Mus musculus: one gene and its partners. Each later gene encodes a partner of the first gene's protein in a complex. Links are inferred from orthologs where the notes say so. Each region holds a gene or a part of one and is shown in the gene's direction. Other genes may lie near its edges.

Evidence for each region.
Region 2: Banp (region 1) and Irf2bp1 share a complex: the UniProt entries of both Homo sapiens proteins name them as parts of the corepressor complex. The link is inferred for Mus musculus from reciprocal best matches to the Homo sapiens genes BANP and IRF2BP1.
Region 3: Banp (region 1) and Irf2bp2 share a complex: the UniProt entries of both Homo sapiens proteins name them as parts of the corepressor complex. The link is inferred for Mus musculus from reciprocal best matches to the Homo sapiens genes BANP and IRF2BP2.

The regions. Positions count from the first base shown.
Region 1 is NC_000074.6:121,948,640-121,953,896, forward strand, and holds the start of Banp (protein BANP), read left to right. Parts: upstream 1-1,852; 5' UTR 1,853-2,009; intron 2,010-5,257. UniProt on the Homo sapiens protein: Controls V(D)J recombination during T-cell development by repressing T-cell receptor (TCR) beta enhancer function. Binds to scaffold/matrix attachment region beta (S/MARbeta), an ATC-rich DNA sequence located upstream of the TCR beta enhancer.
Region 2 is NC_000073.6:19,001,982-19,007,146, forward strand, and holds Irf2bp1 (interferon regulatory factor 2-binding protein 1), read left to right. Parts: upstream 1-2,076; 5' UTR 2,077-2,455; coding exon 2,456-4,210; 3' UTR 4,211-4,782; downstream 4,783-5,165. UniProt on the Homo sapiens protein: Acts as a transcriptional corepressor in a IRF2-dependent manner; this repression is not mediated by histone deacetylase activities. May act as an E3 ligase towards JDP2, enhancing its polyubiquitination. Represses ATF2-dependent transcriptional activation.
Region 3 is NC_000074.6:126,590,473-126,595,669, reverse strand, and holds the start of Irf2bp2 (interferon regulatory factor 2-binding protein 2), read left to right. Parts: upstream 1-1,683; 5' UTR 1,684-2,233; coding exon 2,234-3,230; intron 3,231-3,841; coding exon 3,842-4,557; 3' UTR 4,558-5,197. UniProt on the Homo sapiens protein: Acts as a transcriptional corepressor in a IRF2-dependent manner; this repression is not mediated by histone deacetylase activities. Represses the NFAT1-dependent transactivation of NFAT-responsive promoters.

The DNA.
Region 1 (5,257 bases):
CCAGAGCTGGGGAAGCGGAGACAAGTGGATCACTGGGGCTCACTGGACAGTCAGTCTCACCTACCCTGCAAGCTGCAGGTCCCATTGAGAGACTGTGGTTTAAAATTCAAGGTGGGCAGCTGCCGAGGGACATGCATGTTGCACGCATGCGCACACATCAGCCTCCCGGTTCTGAACTCTGGCTCTGATTAGTGTACTCTCTGGTTGAGATCTAAACTGTATTAGCACTCGGACTCTCATTCAGCCCTTCATTGCTGCCTACTGGTGCCAACCCACCCTTTCCCCACCATCCACTCATCTGCTTGATGGTTGCACTAAATACATTTGAAGTCCTGGGATGGAGGAGACGGCAACGCCAGGGGTGAAAGGGAGGTTAAGGGGGATGTTAGGGTGACATGCTGGGGATGACGTCACCATTACTCTGTTTTTCCGTGCGGTCAGGCATTCATGTTCAGAACTCTCACAACTACAGTTTTAAAATCTGGGCCCAATTGAGGGGCGGTGGGAGGAGATAGTACAACTCTCTAAGAGTTTCTGGCCAAGTTCCTCGTAGTTCCTCTGGGCTTAGCTTTCTTTCTTTTTATTTTAAAGATTTATTTATTTATTTCATGTATGTGGGTACACTGTCACTGTCTTCAGACACACCAGAAGAGGGCATTGGGTTCCCATTACAGATGGTTGTGAGCCATCATGTAGTTCCTGGGGTTTGAACTCAGGACCTCTGGAAGAGCAGTCAGTGCTTTTTTTTTTTTTTTTTTTTTTTTCCCCAAATGAGACAGGGCTTCTCTGTATAACTCTGGCTGTCCTGGAACTCACTCTGTAGATTGGGCTGGCTCGAACTCAGAAATCTGGCTGCCTTTACCTTCCAAGTGCTGGGATTAAAGGTGTGCGCCACCACTGCCCAGCAGGTCTCATTTTAACAGCACAGTTCTAGGTTGAAATCTTCAAGACAATCCTGAGGTAAAGTGGCACAGGATCAAACCCCAGACAGAGCACAGTGGTTTAGAAGGGCTGTCCCAAGGTTGCCCAGCTGGTAGCTGCACTGAGTCATGGCTTTATTATCGGCACAGGGGAACGGGCAGGAAACAGGTTTTTGTTTTGTTTAGTTTTCTAAGTGAAAATAACTCCTGTAATCCCGGTTTGTAGGATTGCTCACTGCGAACATGCAGAAGGGGACAGCCTGGAAAGGAACACTGACGACAGACCAGGTGCAGAGAACCATTAGTGGCATTTCTGGCAACAAATGCACATCGATGCTGCATAGCTCCTATTGCATGATACGTAAGCATGTCACATATAATCTCTATCACAGTGACAGTGTCCCCACGACCAGCTTGTCCATAAGGAAGTCAGGCAACTTTCCAGACAATGCCACTGAACGAGCCCGGAACGTCTGAGACCGATGCCAGGTAGAGTAGGTAGGACGGGTTTGGGAGCGTACAGCCCATTTGAGCCGCTGACACTACAAGTCCCAGCAGCCCTCAGGGCAGGGAAGGCATGGGGCAGCCAGAATCCGGATGGACTACAAATCCCAGCAGGCAAATCATGGCCGCAGAGACTACCAGTCCCAGGACGCATCGTGCCACACACAGCGCACACTGGGATTTGTAGTCGTCAGGGCAGCGTTAGTGTGTTCACACCCATCAAAGAGGACGTACATTCCTCAGATTGAACACTGGAGGATTTACTGCTTTAGCAAGTAACATGGACGTGAGATGGGGAAGTAAGGGCCCAGCGAGTCAACTCTCGGAGCAGGGGAGGACAACTGCGCATGCTCGTTGGAGTCCGTCGGCGAAAGCGCGCGCCAGAGGCGCCCAGAGCAGGCCCCGCCCCCTTCCCGACCGGCCCCGCCCTTGAGCCGGGAGCCCAGGGAGCCTGCGCTGAGGGCGGGGCGCAGGCCGTGGGGAGGCGCTCGCGGCGCCTGCGCAGAGCGGCTGCTTCTCTCGCGAGGACGGACGCCATTATCGCAGCTCCCCGACAAACACCACGAGAATTCCGCAGCCCACACGGTAATTGCAGCTCCCGCAGCCGGTCGCGCCTCCACTCCCCCTTCCCGCGGGGCGAGAGCGAGAGCGAGAGCGAGATCTCCGGCCGCCCCCGCCCCGCCCCGCCGCCAACCGTCGCCAACGGCCACGGGGCCGCACGCCGGGCTGGGCGGGGGCCGGCGGGCCGCGGGATGTCCGCGCGTCGCCTCCGCGCCTCCACCCGCCGGGGCTGCGGGACCCGGGAAGCGAGCGAGCGAGCGGGCGAGCGGCCGAGGCCCGGCGGCCGTGCTCGCGTGCGTTCGGCTCCGGGGCCTCGGCGCCTCCCGGGCCCGCGCCCGGCGCTCCTGTCACGGGCTCGGCGCGCGGGCGCTGTGGCCCTGGCTCGGCCGCCCAAGTCTCTCAGGACTGAGCCTCGCGCGCTGCGCCCGGGCCCCGCGCGCCGCCCCGCCGCCTAGGTGGCCCCATCTCCCGGCCGTTGTTGGCGCTATGCCCCGGTAACCGGGTGACTTCGCCCTGGTTGGCGCGTCCGCCCGCCTCTGCTCTGCTCTCTGTTGACATCGGGGCCGAGACTGGTGCTCGCTTCCCCACCTAGCGTCACGTCCCCGTCCCGCACAGCCTGGCTCTTTTTTTTCCTTGTTACTTGTGGTGGCCTTTGTTTCTCTGCTCCTGGTGACATTGTAACTTCTCGGAGATAGTGTGGAACCTCCGGCTTCCCTCTACCTCCTCTCTGCCTTTCTTCTAATCTGGGTTGGGGACGCTTTAGGCGGGTGCAGGTAGGTCCCGAGGTCTTTCTTTCGCTGCACGCCTGGTCAGCTCAGGACGCAGTGTTTCAGTCAGCTTTCTTCTTGAGTCCCCAGGGAGCCTCTGCCAAGGACTTCCTTTCTGGTAACTGTTTCCTCCCTGGACCGGCCTAAGGTCTTCTTGGCATTGGAACAGGTCTGCCCTTCGCAGGTATGCTCGGTAGGCGTGTCCTCGAGCGCTGGGAGATTGTCCCAAGAGCCTTTCTTAAAGTCGTTAGAGAGTTTGTCGCCCTCCCCCCCACCCCCGCCCCATTTGGGCACACTACTTGAGTTTCTTTATCTTTCTATTCCTTTTTGATTTTCATTCCAGGAAAGAACTTCAGTTTATCTTTCACCCCAGTGGCGCAGGACTTTTAATTCCAAGCACTTAGGAGACAGAGGCAGGTGGATCTTTGCCAGTTTGAGGCAACCTCGTTTACATAGTGTTTACATAGGCAACCTCCCCTATCTCGGGGAGGGGGCCGGCGAATCCACCATCAGAATTGTAGTTTCTGAGCAGGGCATAGAGAGGTACACACCTCTAGCCCCAGCACTTGGGAGGCAGAGGCAGGCGGATCTCTTAAGTCTGACACCATCCTGCTCTACAGAGTGAGTTCTAGGACAGCCAGAACTACACAGAGAAACCTTGTCTTGAAAAACGAAACAAACAAAAAAAAATTTCTGAATGTATTTGTTCTTTTCCTTTTGTTCAGTAGTTTGTTTCATGAATATGTTTTCTCTTTCAGGCTGAGAAAACTATTAGGGGTTCTTTTCAGTTCTCTTATCTGACTTCTTGTTTATCACTTTTGGGGGGTGGGTGGTAAATGTTAGCTTCTTGCTTTGGATGGCAGGTCCTCCAATAGTGCTAATTATTATTGCTTAAACCTTAGACTTTAAGGTAAGAGGAAACTGGCAGGGGGCCCTGGGTCTGTGGAGAGGGGTTTAAAAATGGTTTTCCCCACTAGTGTCTGGGAGAGGTTGTTACCTCAAGACTTGGAGGACCACATAACAGACACCTTATATCTGGGCTGTTTATGCATCTTCCAGGGTCTGTCTCCCTTTGCTTGGAAGCTGTTTTGCTTGTCAGGGGTGGCTGTGGAGACTGCTGAGGGCCAGGTGGGGCCTGGAGCCCCACTCCTGTGTCCTGCAAGCTATCTAGATCCTCTGTCAGAAGTTTAAGTCTTTGGCTGTGCTCTATTTTCTTGTGAGCTGATTGTACTGTAGTAAGTATTTTAGTGGGGTAAGTGGAGATTGTTTACAAGGCCACTCATCTTGAACAGGAATTTCAAAGCCTGTTGTCTTCATTCAGACAATTTGTCTCCTTCCATTTTTTGCTCTTTGTGACGGATGTGTGCCAGAACATGGTGTCTGGCTGCCTCCAGTTGACTGGGTGGTCCTTTGGTAGGGTACCGGGATGCAGAGGACTGGTCCCACACTGAGATTAGGATGCAGAGGACTGGTCCCACACTGAGATTAGGCACTTGATTTGACTTGTCTGGTGAGCTCTGAGTTTAGCCTCTTCACTTTGTTGCTGGGCTAGTGCAAGTAGCTAGCATATTATGCATGGTTCATTGATCCCGAGGTGCGCAGTGCAGTGTTTGCCGCGCCCATAGCACAGGGATAGCGAGGCGCTGTTTTGGGCTGGCACCCTTGCCCAGGGCCTTGCAGCAGAGTCCACAGCAACCCACACTTCATGAGCATTCTGAGGTCCACCTGCAGAGTTAGTCTGTGGTTAAGAATTTCAGAGAAACTGAATGAGCTTCCTCTTCCCCTTCATTTTCTCTCTTGGCTAACAGGAAGGTTACCTAGATTATAAAGACCATACACACGTTTCAATGTCCCACTGACATCTTTTGTTTGTTTTGTTTCAGGATGTAATTCAAGACTCCATACTCTAGTTGTCATATCTCCTCCAGTCTGCTATTTTCGTTATCCCAAAGTATCCAGTGTTTATAAGTTTTGGCAGGAAAAACGTGCAGTTTCTGGAAAAAGCCCAGCAGATACTGTAGTGTTTGTTGGATTGAGGCTATGTGGTCAATAGAGACACTGATATCAAATACCCCAGGAGATAGACTAAGAACATCAGCTTTCTGCTAGACATGCAGTGTATTCACGAGAACACGTCAGATGCAGGTGGGGAGGGGTGATGACTAGAATTCTGACTAGTACTGCTCGAGGTGAGGGGCTCAGGGGAAACGGAGGGTCCAAGCCCAGGTTCTAGATGAATTCACAGCAGTGGTTTTACTAATGCCACCCCATGTAGCTTAGCCTGCTTTCTCAGAATCAGATGTGCTATGGAAACTTAAGGTGTATGGTTGAATGAATTACACGATGCAAGGCTGACTATAAAGCCCCATATTACTTAAAGGGTCATTTCAGTTATTTAAATCCAGAAAAAGTTTCCCTGGGAGGGGGGAGACTAGACAGTTGGATGCAATGAGGGCCCCACCCAACAAGAATGTGACACTGAAGTTAGGGCTGTGGTGGTCGTTG
Region 2 (5,165 bases), on another chromosome or scaffold:
GCAAGGACAGAGACGGGGCAGAACGAAAAATAGGCTTTTACAGCCTTAAAGAGCCTATCAAGGGATCATGGCTCATACTTGCCATTCCTGTACTAGGGAGGCTTGCTGTGAGTTCAAGGCTAACCTGTGCTTCAGAGACCTATCGTTAGAAAAAGGAAAAATAAATAAAGCCAGGCATGGTTAATGTATTTTTGAAATCTCAGCCCCCAGGAGGTTAAGGAAGGAGGACCCAGAGCTCAGGCCAGCCAGCCTGGACCACCTAGTGAGGCCCAGTTTCAAAATTAAAAATACAGGCTGGTAGTACATCTCAGCACTAGAGCACTTAGCATAAGGCCCTGGATTCCATCCCAGTACCACGTATAAGCAGGAGAAAGTAAATAAACAGTAGTACAGGAAACCTATGGTTGTGAACATAGTATCTCCCAGGAAACGATAAAAATAGGCAATTTGTTTAAGGGAGAAGTGTTAAAACAGTAATGCAGGTGGTAGTTAAATTGTAACGCTGAAATAGAAAGCCAGGGCTGCTGTGACTACTCTGGGGTGGGGGTGAGAAAACCACCAAGCCTCCACTAAGTGCAAACCTGGAAGAACGCAAAGAAGACACTGGGGGGGGGGGGGGGAATTGAGACCACCAGCGGGGATCCAGGCCAAGTGAGGGGAAAGGGCTGATGTGAGCTAGGTCCTGGAGACATATGTCGCTTCTCCTAGCTCCCCCCACCCCCCCAAAAAAGCTAAAAACATGGGGTGCCCACAGCCGATTGGGCCCACCAGGCCATTAAGCACTTGGAGGTTTGGGGTTGCCCTTCCCAGCAATCTCCTCTTGGCTTCCTCATTCCAAATATAAGAGTAATAAGAGCCCCCTAACCTGGGGGGTGGGGGTGGAGGGAGAGGGCGAAATTCCCTGCTAGCAAGGGGGGGGGGCAAGAATCGGGAAGGCCTTCCCCCCCCAAGCTTCCAAGCAGAGGAAGTACGTCAGTGCGTCCATCTCGCAGAGCATTTTGGGAATTGTAGTGAAATTGGAGGTGTACCGAGAAGCCAACTCTGTAACCCTTTAGAGACCAAATACGTGCACAGCTGGAGCAGAATTGGCAGGCTCAGAGAACGTTCTTTAGCAGATGAGGAAACTAAGGCAGCCGCCTGGCTCGGAAGCCTACAGTCTTATCATCCTGTAGCCTCTGGGCCGCCCTTGAGGCTAGTACCTAAGACACTGGGAAGGACAAACTGCCAAGTAGACACTACTCTCCAAGAGTTGCCTGAAACCATCCCCTTGAAACCGTCCAATCAGAGCCTCTCCGCCCCAATTCCCCCAAAGCTGCTGCCTTTCTAACCGGTTATTGGCCCTTCTTGAAGGGGCGGGATTCTAAGAGAGGGCAAGACTCTTCTAGAACTGCTCAGCAAATCAGAGCAGAAACTGCTTTCCGGCTTCTGGGTATGGTGTCGGGACTGTAAACCCACAAGGAGGCTGAAGCAGGGAGATTGCAGCAAGTTTGAGGCCAGCCTAGACTACATAGGCTAGCCTTCTAGGCCAACCTGAGCTAAAGAATAAATCTAAGTCTTAAGAAAGAAAGAGGGGGGGCTGGTGAGATGGCTCAGTGGGTAAGAGCACCCGACTGCTCTTCCGAAGGTCAGGAGTTCAAATCCCAGCAACCACATGGTGGCTCACAACCATCCGTAACGAGATCTGACTCCCTCTTCTGGAGTGTCTGAGGACAGCTGCAGTGTACTTACATATAATAAATAAATAAATAAATAAATCTAAAAAAAAAAAAAAAAGATTGTTTAAAAAAAAAAAAAAGAAAGAAAGAGGGGGCGGGGAAAGGGGGGAAATTGCATCCACAGCAACTTGGCCACCCGAGCATTTATGAAACCATTACCCACTCCATGGACCCTGTGTGCGAACCCCAGCTTCCTGGCGAGGCACAGTGAAAATTAAGCACCCAGACCAGCGCGCGCCCTCTTTTCCCGCCACTGCTTTCTACCCAGTCCCCTTTAAGAAGCAGCCCCGACGGGACTACATTTCCCAGAAGGCTTTGCCCGCGCGTTATGTAACTTTCCCTGCGAAGCGGCCTCTGGGGCAGAAGAAGGAGGTGGAGGCGACGGCGGCCGTTGCAGCGGCGTCGGCGGCGCGAGCGGAGCGGCGGGAGCCTGGGGCGGCGGCGCCCGAGGCCCATCGAGGAGCTGGAGCTGTGCATCGCGGCTCACGGCGCGGACCGGACGGGGGCGCCGACGTGCGTGCTCGTGGCTTGCCTTTTCCACCGGAGGCGGGAGTGAGAGAGAGAGGAAAAAAAAGGCTGAGGGCCCAGGGGGCGGGGAAGGGGGGCCGGGCCTGAATCCGGCGGGGAGGCCGAGCCCGAGGCCGGATTGAGCGGCTCGCGCGCCCGTCCCGGGGCACGGCGGAGCGAACGTGGGCGGCGGGTGCACAGCAGGGGCACCTGGCGGCGTTCCGGGGGGCGCCATGGCGTCCGTGCAAGCGTCCCGCCGCCAGTGGTGCTACCTGTGCGACCTGCCCAAGATGCCGTGGGCCATGGTGTGGGACTTCAGCGAGGCTGTGTGCCGCGGGTGCGTGAATTTCGAGGGCGCGGACCGCATCGAGCTGCTCATCGACGCCGCCCGCCAGCTCAAGCGCAGCCACGTGCTCCCCGAGGGCCGCTCGCCCGGACCCCCGGCTCTCAAGCACCCGACTTCCAAGGACCTAGCCTCCACGGGCTCCCAGGGCTCCCAGTTGCCACCCCCGCAGGCCCAGGCGCAGCCATCGGGGACCGGCGGTAGCGTCTCAGGCCCGGACCGCTATGACAGGGCTACTTCATCCAGCCGCCTGGCGCTGCCTTCGCCGGCTTTGGAGTACACCCTGGGGTCCCGCTTGGCCAACGGGCTGGGCCGCGAGGAGGCCGTGGCGGAAGGGGCACGCAGGGCTTTGCTTGGCTCCATCCCCAGCTTGATGCCCCCCGGGCTGCTGGCAGCTGCAGTGTCTGGCCTTGGAGGCCGAGCTCTGACGCTGGCACCTGGCTTAAGCCCCGCTCGTCCACTTTTCGGCTCCGATTTCGAGAAGGAGAAGCAGCAGAGGAATGCGGACTGCTTGGCAGAACTGAACGAGGCCATGCGGGGCCGGGCGGAGGAGTGGCATGGGCGTCCCAAGGCTGTAAGGGAACAGCTACTGGCTCTGTCCGCCTGTGCCCCTTTCAATGTTCGATTCAAGAAGGACCACGGGCTGGTGGGACGGGTGTTCGCCTTTGATGCCACTGCCCGCCCTCCGGGCTATGAGTTCGAGCTGAAGCTCTTCACCGAATACCCCTGTGGTTCTGGCAATGTTTACGCGGGGGTCCTTGCAGTGGCTCGCCAGATGTTTCATGATGCTCTTCGAGAGCCAGGGAAGGCCCTGGCCTCATCGGGCTTCAAGTACCTCGAGTATGAACGGCGCCATGGTTCAGGGGAATGGCGCCAGTTAGGAGAGCTGCTTACGGATGGGGTCCGCAGCTTCCGAGAGCCTGCTCCTGCGGAGGCCCTGCCCCAGCAGTACCCAGAACCGGCCCCTGCTGCTCTGTGTGGCCCACCTCCAAGAGCCCCATCCCGAAACCTGGCGCCCACTCCACGCCGTCGCAAAGCATCCCCTGAGCCCGAGGGCGAGACAGCTGGGAAGATGACCACGGAGGAGCAGCAACAGCGGCACTGGGTGGCGCCAGGCGGTCCATACTCTTCAGAGACCCCTGGTGTGCCCTCACCTATTGCTGCCCTCAAGAATGTGGCCGAGGCTCTGGGCCACTCACCCAAGGACCCTGGTGGGGGTGGAGGCTCTGTCCGCGCAGGGGGTGCTAGCCCCGCGGCTTCCTCCACAACCCAACCACCGGCCCAGCATCGTTTGGTGGCACGCAATGGAGAGGCAGAAGTCAGCCCCACTGCCGGGGCTGAAGCTGTCAGCGGGGGTGGTAGCGGCACAGGGGCGACCCCTGGAGCCCCCTTGTGCTGTACCCTGTGCAGAGAAAGGCTGGAAGACACCCACTTCGTGCAGTGTCCCTCGGTACCCGGACACAAGTTCTGCTTTCCTTGCTCCCGAGAGTTTATCAAGGCACAGGGCCCAGCCGGAGAGGTGTACTGCCCCAGTGGAGACAAATGTCCACTGGTGGGTTCCTCTGTCCCCTGGGCCTTCATGCAGGGCGAGATCGCTACTATTCTTGCTGGTGACATCAAGGTCAAGAAAGAAAGAGACCCCTAGGCTGCCACTGCCAGGCTTCTTTCCCCTCCCCCTTAACCATCACCGCATCTGCGGATAAATTATTCCCTACCGCACCCAACCCTGTACCACCCTAACCTATGTATATACCCTTTCCTCTGCCCAGATGGGTCCCCTGGGGTAGATACATTGTGGGTGGGGGGAGAGAGCTTGTGGCTCCTGTCAGAGAGGGTGTTTGGGGTTCCTGGGCCCCTCCTTTCTTTTTCCTTTCTTGGCTTGGCTTTCCTGCTGTTGGTAGTTGGGTGAGAGGTACCCCGCGTGTCCTTGAGAAGGGACCTCCTGAGAACTCGCTCTTTATAAACGAAGCAAAAGCATTTTATTGTTCCCCCTCTCCCACCCTTTTCCTCCTTCAATAAACTGAGAGATGGGTTGTTCTTTTTCCCCCTTCTTGTTCCCTTTAGTTTTTATGAGATGCTGCGCCCCCTTCGGGATTGGACTTGTCCTGCGCGCAAGAGGACTTCTGCGTTGTGACCACTAGGTGGTGCCTTTTGTCCAGTGGGCTGCTGTTTGTAGTAGTGTACATTTGCTGTGCTCTAATTAAAGGTGTAGTCGAGGCCGGTTTTGCAGACGATGGTACTGAGATTCTGACAGGGCTTGGCTCCTGCACGGCGATCACAAACTTGAGAGTAGGTTTGCACTACAGCTGGCCCTCTGAATGCAGAGACATCAGAGGAGGGAAAAGAAGTAGGAAGTGTTCTAGAGGTAGTTTACTTGGAGATATTTCTAGGGGCACTGTCCATGGAAAGAGTGAGTTGAACCTTCCTGGGTAAATGTATATGGGAGCAGGATGGTACCTTCTTGCTTCATATAGTGCCCAAGAGATGGACACACCTGAGAAACCTGAACTGGGCTCACGCCCTTCATCTGGGGACAGTGGCTATCACCCTAAAACACTTAGGAGCTAAGTAAAAGGCTCCCGCCCACCGCGGCTGCTTCT
Region 3 (5,197 bases), about 4.6 Mb from region 1:
CACTCAGGTTCTGCACGGTCAAAATCACGTGCTCAGATGAGTGACACAGGGTCTTGGAAGAGAGTGACCAGACTGACAGGTCCTGGAGCAGGTGCCCAAACCAGCTGGCACCAGCTGCTTCTGGGAATGGATCCGGGTAGGCCCCATTCCAGGCTTGGAGAGGGTGAGGCAGGCTTGTGACTGGAAGGGGAGCTGGGGAGGCCCTTGACACAGATGTACCTTCTCTGGAAAGCCCCGAGAGAGACGTTCAAGGTTAGCCTGTGGACGCCCTTGGCATCTGGCGCTAAGCTTTCTGTGCCACCTCCAACAGGTTTATTCTTGTGCTCTAAACAGCTCTCTGGGCTGCTTCTCTGTGGGGCGTGTTTCCTCTTGTGGCTATTCTTTGAAGCAACCTGGCATTTTTCAATAGCAGCCACCGGAGAAAAAAAGGTCAGCAGATTTTTCCCCCCTCCCTTTCCACCTTCCAATCCAGTTGTAGGAAAGCTAATGTACTTAGTACCCTGCTCTTCCCACACTTAACCAGCCCATTCCAATCTTGGGGAGAGAGGTGGACCTGCGTTGTTCACCACAAAAGCAAAAGCGGCTCTTACTCAGAGTAGTAGGTCTCAAATCAGAGCCTGACTGACCGACCACTGACAGCACACACCAGTCCCTGCTCCCTACCAAAGTGTACAATTCGGTGTTCCGTCCACTCTGGGCAGCCCTCACTGCCCAGCGTGGAAGGGAACAACGAAGCGATGCTGCCAGGCGCGTCTGTGCCCACTGGGCTAAGCCGGATGGTACAACAGACAGCCAAGTCCACCCGCCAGCGCACGCCCTAGGCGCAAAGGGGACAGCGCGCGCCCAGAGTTGGCCACTCGAAGTTCGGCCCCGCGGAGGCGGTGGGGCAGGGCCTACTAGCCAGAGACCGGGGGCGGGTCCTGAGCCGTGACGCGGTGCGCTGCAGAGCCCAGATCCCTGGAATGTGCACTAGCTCGGCGCGGCCCCAGGGCCCGCGGCGCTGGGCACGTCTTATGTGGAGTTTGCGCAGTGGCAGCGTCCCTTGCCCACGTCACGCGCTCGCTGCACAGACCTACATAAGACGCTGGGCGGCGGCGCCTGAGGAGCCTCGGGCCTGTGCGTCCTCCTTTCAGTGCACGCGCAAAAGAGGCCGGGCCTGCCTGAGCACTAAGTTTTTGTAAAACTTAAAGGGGCAGCGGCAGTGTGTAGTTGCTTCCTCGACCAAAACAGGGCAGAGTGTTGATAGCGTGCGCGCGCCCAGCTGAAGCCAAGTGAGACGCTAACAAGGAAAAGTCCAAAGTGCGCCTCGCTATGCTCCAAATTCCATGCTCAGGAGGCTGCCAGTAACCAAGTGATAAAGTGGCATTGCATGTAAAATAAAACAGTTTGCACGATTTAATCGAAAGAACAGGGCCATGGGTTGGAGCATCCTGGCTGGGTAGGCGGGGTGACACGGGACTCTTGGGGACGCGAGCTGCACACCTGCGGCGCTAGGGCCGCGTGAACTGGTCTGCGCCTCAGTCCCGGCGCGCACGCGATCGAGAAACGGAAGAATCCAGGGTGGCGCGCGAGAGAGCGCAGAGGGAGGGAGGGAGGGAAGGAGGGCGGGCGCACGGGGCCGCGCGCGCCAGGGAGGGAGGGGGCCGCGCAGGCGCCGTGCAGAGCTGTCGAAGAATCAAGTCTGTAGAAGTGGAGCGGCCGCGGCGGTAGCAGCAGCAACAGCGGCGGCGCAGGAGCTGAGGCGCAGTGGGTGCTGTGCAGCGGCCGCGCCGGGGCCCGGGACCGAGCTGCACGCCGCCGCGCGCGGCATGCCCCGCCGCTCGGGCTGAGCTGCCCCGGCGGCTGCCCCGCGTCCCCCGTACCTCGCGCGGCTCTGCGCCCCGGGCGCCAGCGCGACCTGCTGCGCTCGCGGCCCGTCTTTGCCCCGGTCTGGAGGCCCCAGCCCGCGGCCCCGGCCGAGCCGCCGCCCCCGCGCGCGCCGCGCCGCCCCGCCGCCCGTGGGGACCTGCAGGCGCGCCCCGCCGCGCGCCCGCCGCCCCTCGTGCCCCGGGGGCGCCGCGCGGGCGCCGCGCCGGCCCGGGCTCTGCCGCCGCCGCCTCCTCGCCTGCGGCCGCCGCCGCCGCTAGTCGCGCAGACGCGGGCTTGGGCCGGCCGGCGCGCGCGCGCGGGATCCACGGGGGGCGGCGGCGTCCCCTCACCCGGCTCCTCCTGCGGCGCGGCGGGCTGTGCGGACATGGCCGCGGCGGTGGCGGTGGCGGCCGCCTCTCGGCGCCAGTCGTGCTATCTGTGTGACCTGCCCCGCATGCCCTGGGCCATGATCTGGGACTTCACGGAGCCCGTGTGCCGCGGCTGCGTCAACTACGAGGGAGCCGACCGCGTGGAGTTCGTCATCGAGACGGCCCGCCAGCTGAAGCGTGCTCACGGCTGCTTCCCGGAGGGCCGCTCCCCGACCGGTGCACAGCCCGCAGCCGCCAAGCCACCGCCACTGTCGGCCAAGGACCTACTGCTGCAGCCGCCGCCGCAGCTGGGCCACGCGGGCGCCGAGGCCGCGCGCGCTCAGGCTATGGAGCGCTACCCGCTGGCGCCGGATCGTGCCCCGCGCCTGGCCTCCGACTTCAGCACGCGTGCGGGTGCAGGCCTCCCACAGTCGGCCGCGCAGCAGTCCGCGCCGGCGAACGGCATCCTGGTGCCCAACGGGTTCTCCAAACTGGAGGAGCCGCCGGAGCTGAATCGCCAGAGCCCGAACCCTCGGCGTGCACACGCCGTTCCGCCCACTCTGGTGCCTCTGGTCAACGGTTCTGCCGCGCTGGGGTTGAGCGGCCGTGCTGCGGCCACACTGGCCGCGGTGAGCGGAACACCGGGCCTGGGAGCTCAGCCCGCCGAGTTGGGCACCCACAAACGCCCGGCGTCTGTGTCGAGCGCGGCGGCGGAGCACGAGGCGCGCGAGCCGAGCAAGGAGAAGGCGCAGCCCGCGCACCGGAGTCCGGCCGACAGCTTATCCAGCGCGGCCGGGGCCAGCGAGCTGAGCGCCGAGGGTGCAGGCAAAGGCCGCGCGCCCGGGGAGCAGGACTGGGCCAGCAGGCCTAAGACGGTGCGGGACACGCTCCTGGCGCTGCACCAGCACGGCCACTCGGGGCCCTTCGAGAGCAAGTTCAAGAAGGAGCCGGCTCTGACTGCAGCAGGCAGGTTGTTGGGTTTCGAGGCCAACGGGGCCAACGGGTCTAAAGCAGGTAGGGGCGACTGCGGGGCGAGGGGAGAAGGGATGGAGGGCGTGGGGTTAGAGGCAGCGTTTGAGCGCCCGCCCACCCGTGTGTGTGTGTGTGTGTGTGTGTGTGTGCGCGCGCGCGCGTGCGTGTGTGCGCGTGGGTGGGTGGGTGGGTGGGTGGGTGGTAGGGATCCATTCTTCCATGCACAGTTTTGCCTTAATCCAGAAACAACAAACAGCCAACTTCCTGGTCGGCCCGGGGCTGAACCAGAGCTTAGTGGCAACGTGGTCCCTCTGCTGAACCAGCACAACAGGGATGAGTCAGAACGGGTTGATAGGCAGCGACACGGGGTTTTCCTTTCCCAGCACATTCTTGGATGGAAGCGTGAGGGCAGCAGTCACCCTTTAACCTGTCTGCTAAATGCAGTCACATGAGCTGGTCTGGGGTTGGAGCCTTTCAGGCAGGATCCCATGACTTGGCTTACCTTGGAGGTGGTGTGCAGGCTCAGAGCCCTTTATTAGGGGAAATGTTTGAAGCTGCGTGCAGAACTATGTGTGTTTTTGAAGATGAGAGCTGTCTCTTTGGGGGTACGTTAAAGTTAATCTTCCTTTTCTTCCATACCTGTCTCTTTCCAGTTGCAAGGACAGCAAGGAAAAGGAAGCCTTCCCCAGAACCGGAAGGGGAAGTCGGGCCCCCTAAGATCAATGGTGAGACACAGCCTTGGCTGTCCACTTCCACAGAAGGGCTCAAGATCCCCATCACCCCTACATCCTCTTTTGTGTCTCCACCACCCCCTACTGCCTCTCCTCATTCCAACCGGACCACACCGCCTGAAGCGGCCCAGAATGGCCAGTCCCCAATGGCAGCCCTGATTTTAGTAGCAGACAATGCCGGGGGCAGTCACGCCTCAAAAGATGCCACCCAGGTTCACTCCACCACCAGGAGGAACAGCAGCAGCCCGCCCTCTCCCTCCTCTATGAACCAAAGAAGGCTTGGCCCCAGAGAGGTGGGGGGCCAGGCCACCGGCAGCACCGGAGGACTGGAGCCGGTGCACCCTGCCAGCCTCCCAGACTCCTCTCTGGCAGCCAGCGCCCCCCTGTGCTGCACCCTCTGCCACGAGCGGCTGGAGGATACTCACTTTGTGCAGTGCCCGTCTGTCCCTTCGCACAAGTTCTGTTTCCCTTGCTCCAGACAAAGCATTAAACAGCAGGGCGCTAGCGGAGAGGTCTATTGCCCAAGTGGAGAGAAGTGTCCTCTGGTGGGCTCCAATGTCCCCTGGGCCTTCATGCAAGGAGAGATTGCTACCATCCTCGCCGGAGATGTGAAAGTGAAGAAGGAGAGAGACTCGTGACTTTCTGCGTTCAGAAAAGCCCATGGTTACCCTTAACTCAAACTTGTTGAACTGTATATAGATCTCCATACATATATATATATATATAAATATAAATATATATATCCAAGACAAGGGAAATGTAGACTTCATAACATGGCTGTATAATTTTGATTTTTTTTGAATACATTGTGTTTCTATATTTTTTTTGACGACAAAAGGTATGTACTTTAAGGCATTTTCTTCTTTTGTTAACGTTGTTAGGCTGTCTGTGTTTGACTCTTTGGGTGACAGTTGCTGTTCTTTGTAGGCTGCGACTTGGCTGCTTTTGTTTTTTTTTGTTTTATTTTGTTTTTTGTTTTTTTTTTGTTTGTTTGTTTTTAAAGAGCACTTGGCAAACAAATGCTTCTAGCTGTATTTGTATGCACTTATTTTAAAAAAGAAAAAAAGCCAAATACATTTTTTTCTGACATTGTAAGATTGCCTTACTGTCTGTCATTTCTCCTCGCTGGCCTCTCTCAGGCTGGAGGCCAGTTGGTGGAGGAGAAAGGAAGTGAGTGGAAGGGGGACACCTGTCACAAGGGCATTCCCCGTCCCCCAGGAAATGTCACCCACCTTTCCGAGGGAGGGAAAATGGGGTTTGAATCTTGTCAACGGTTCA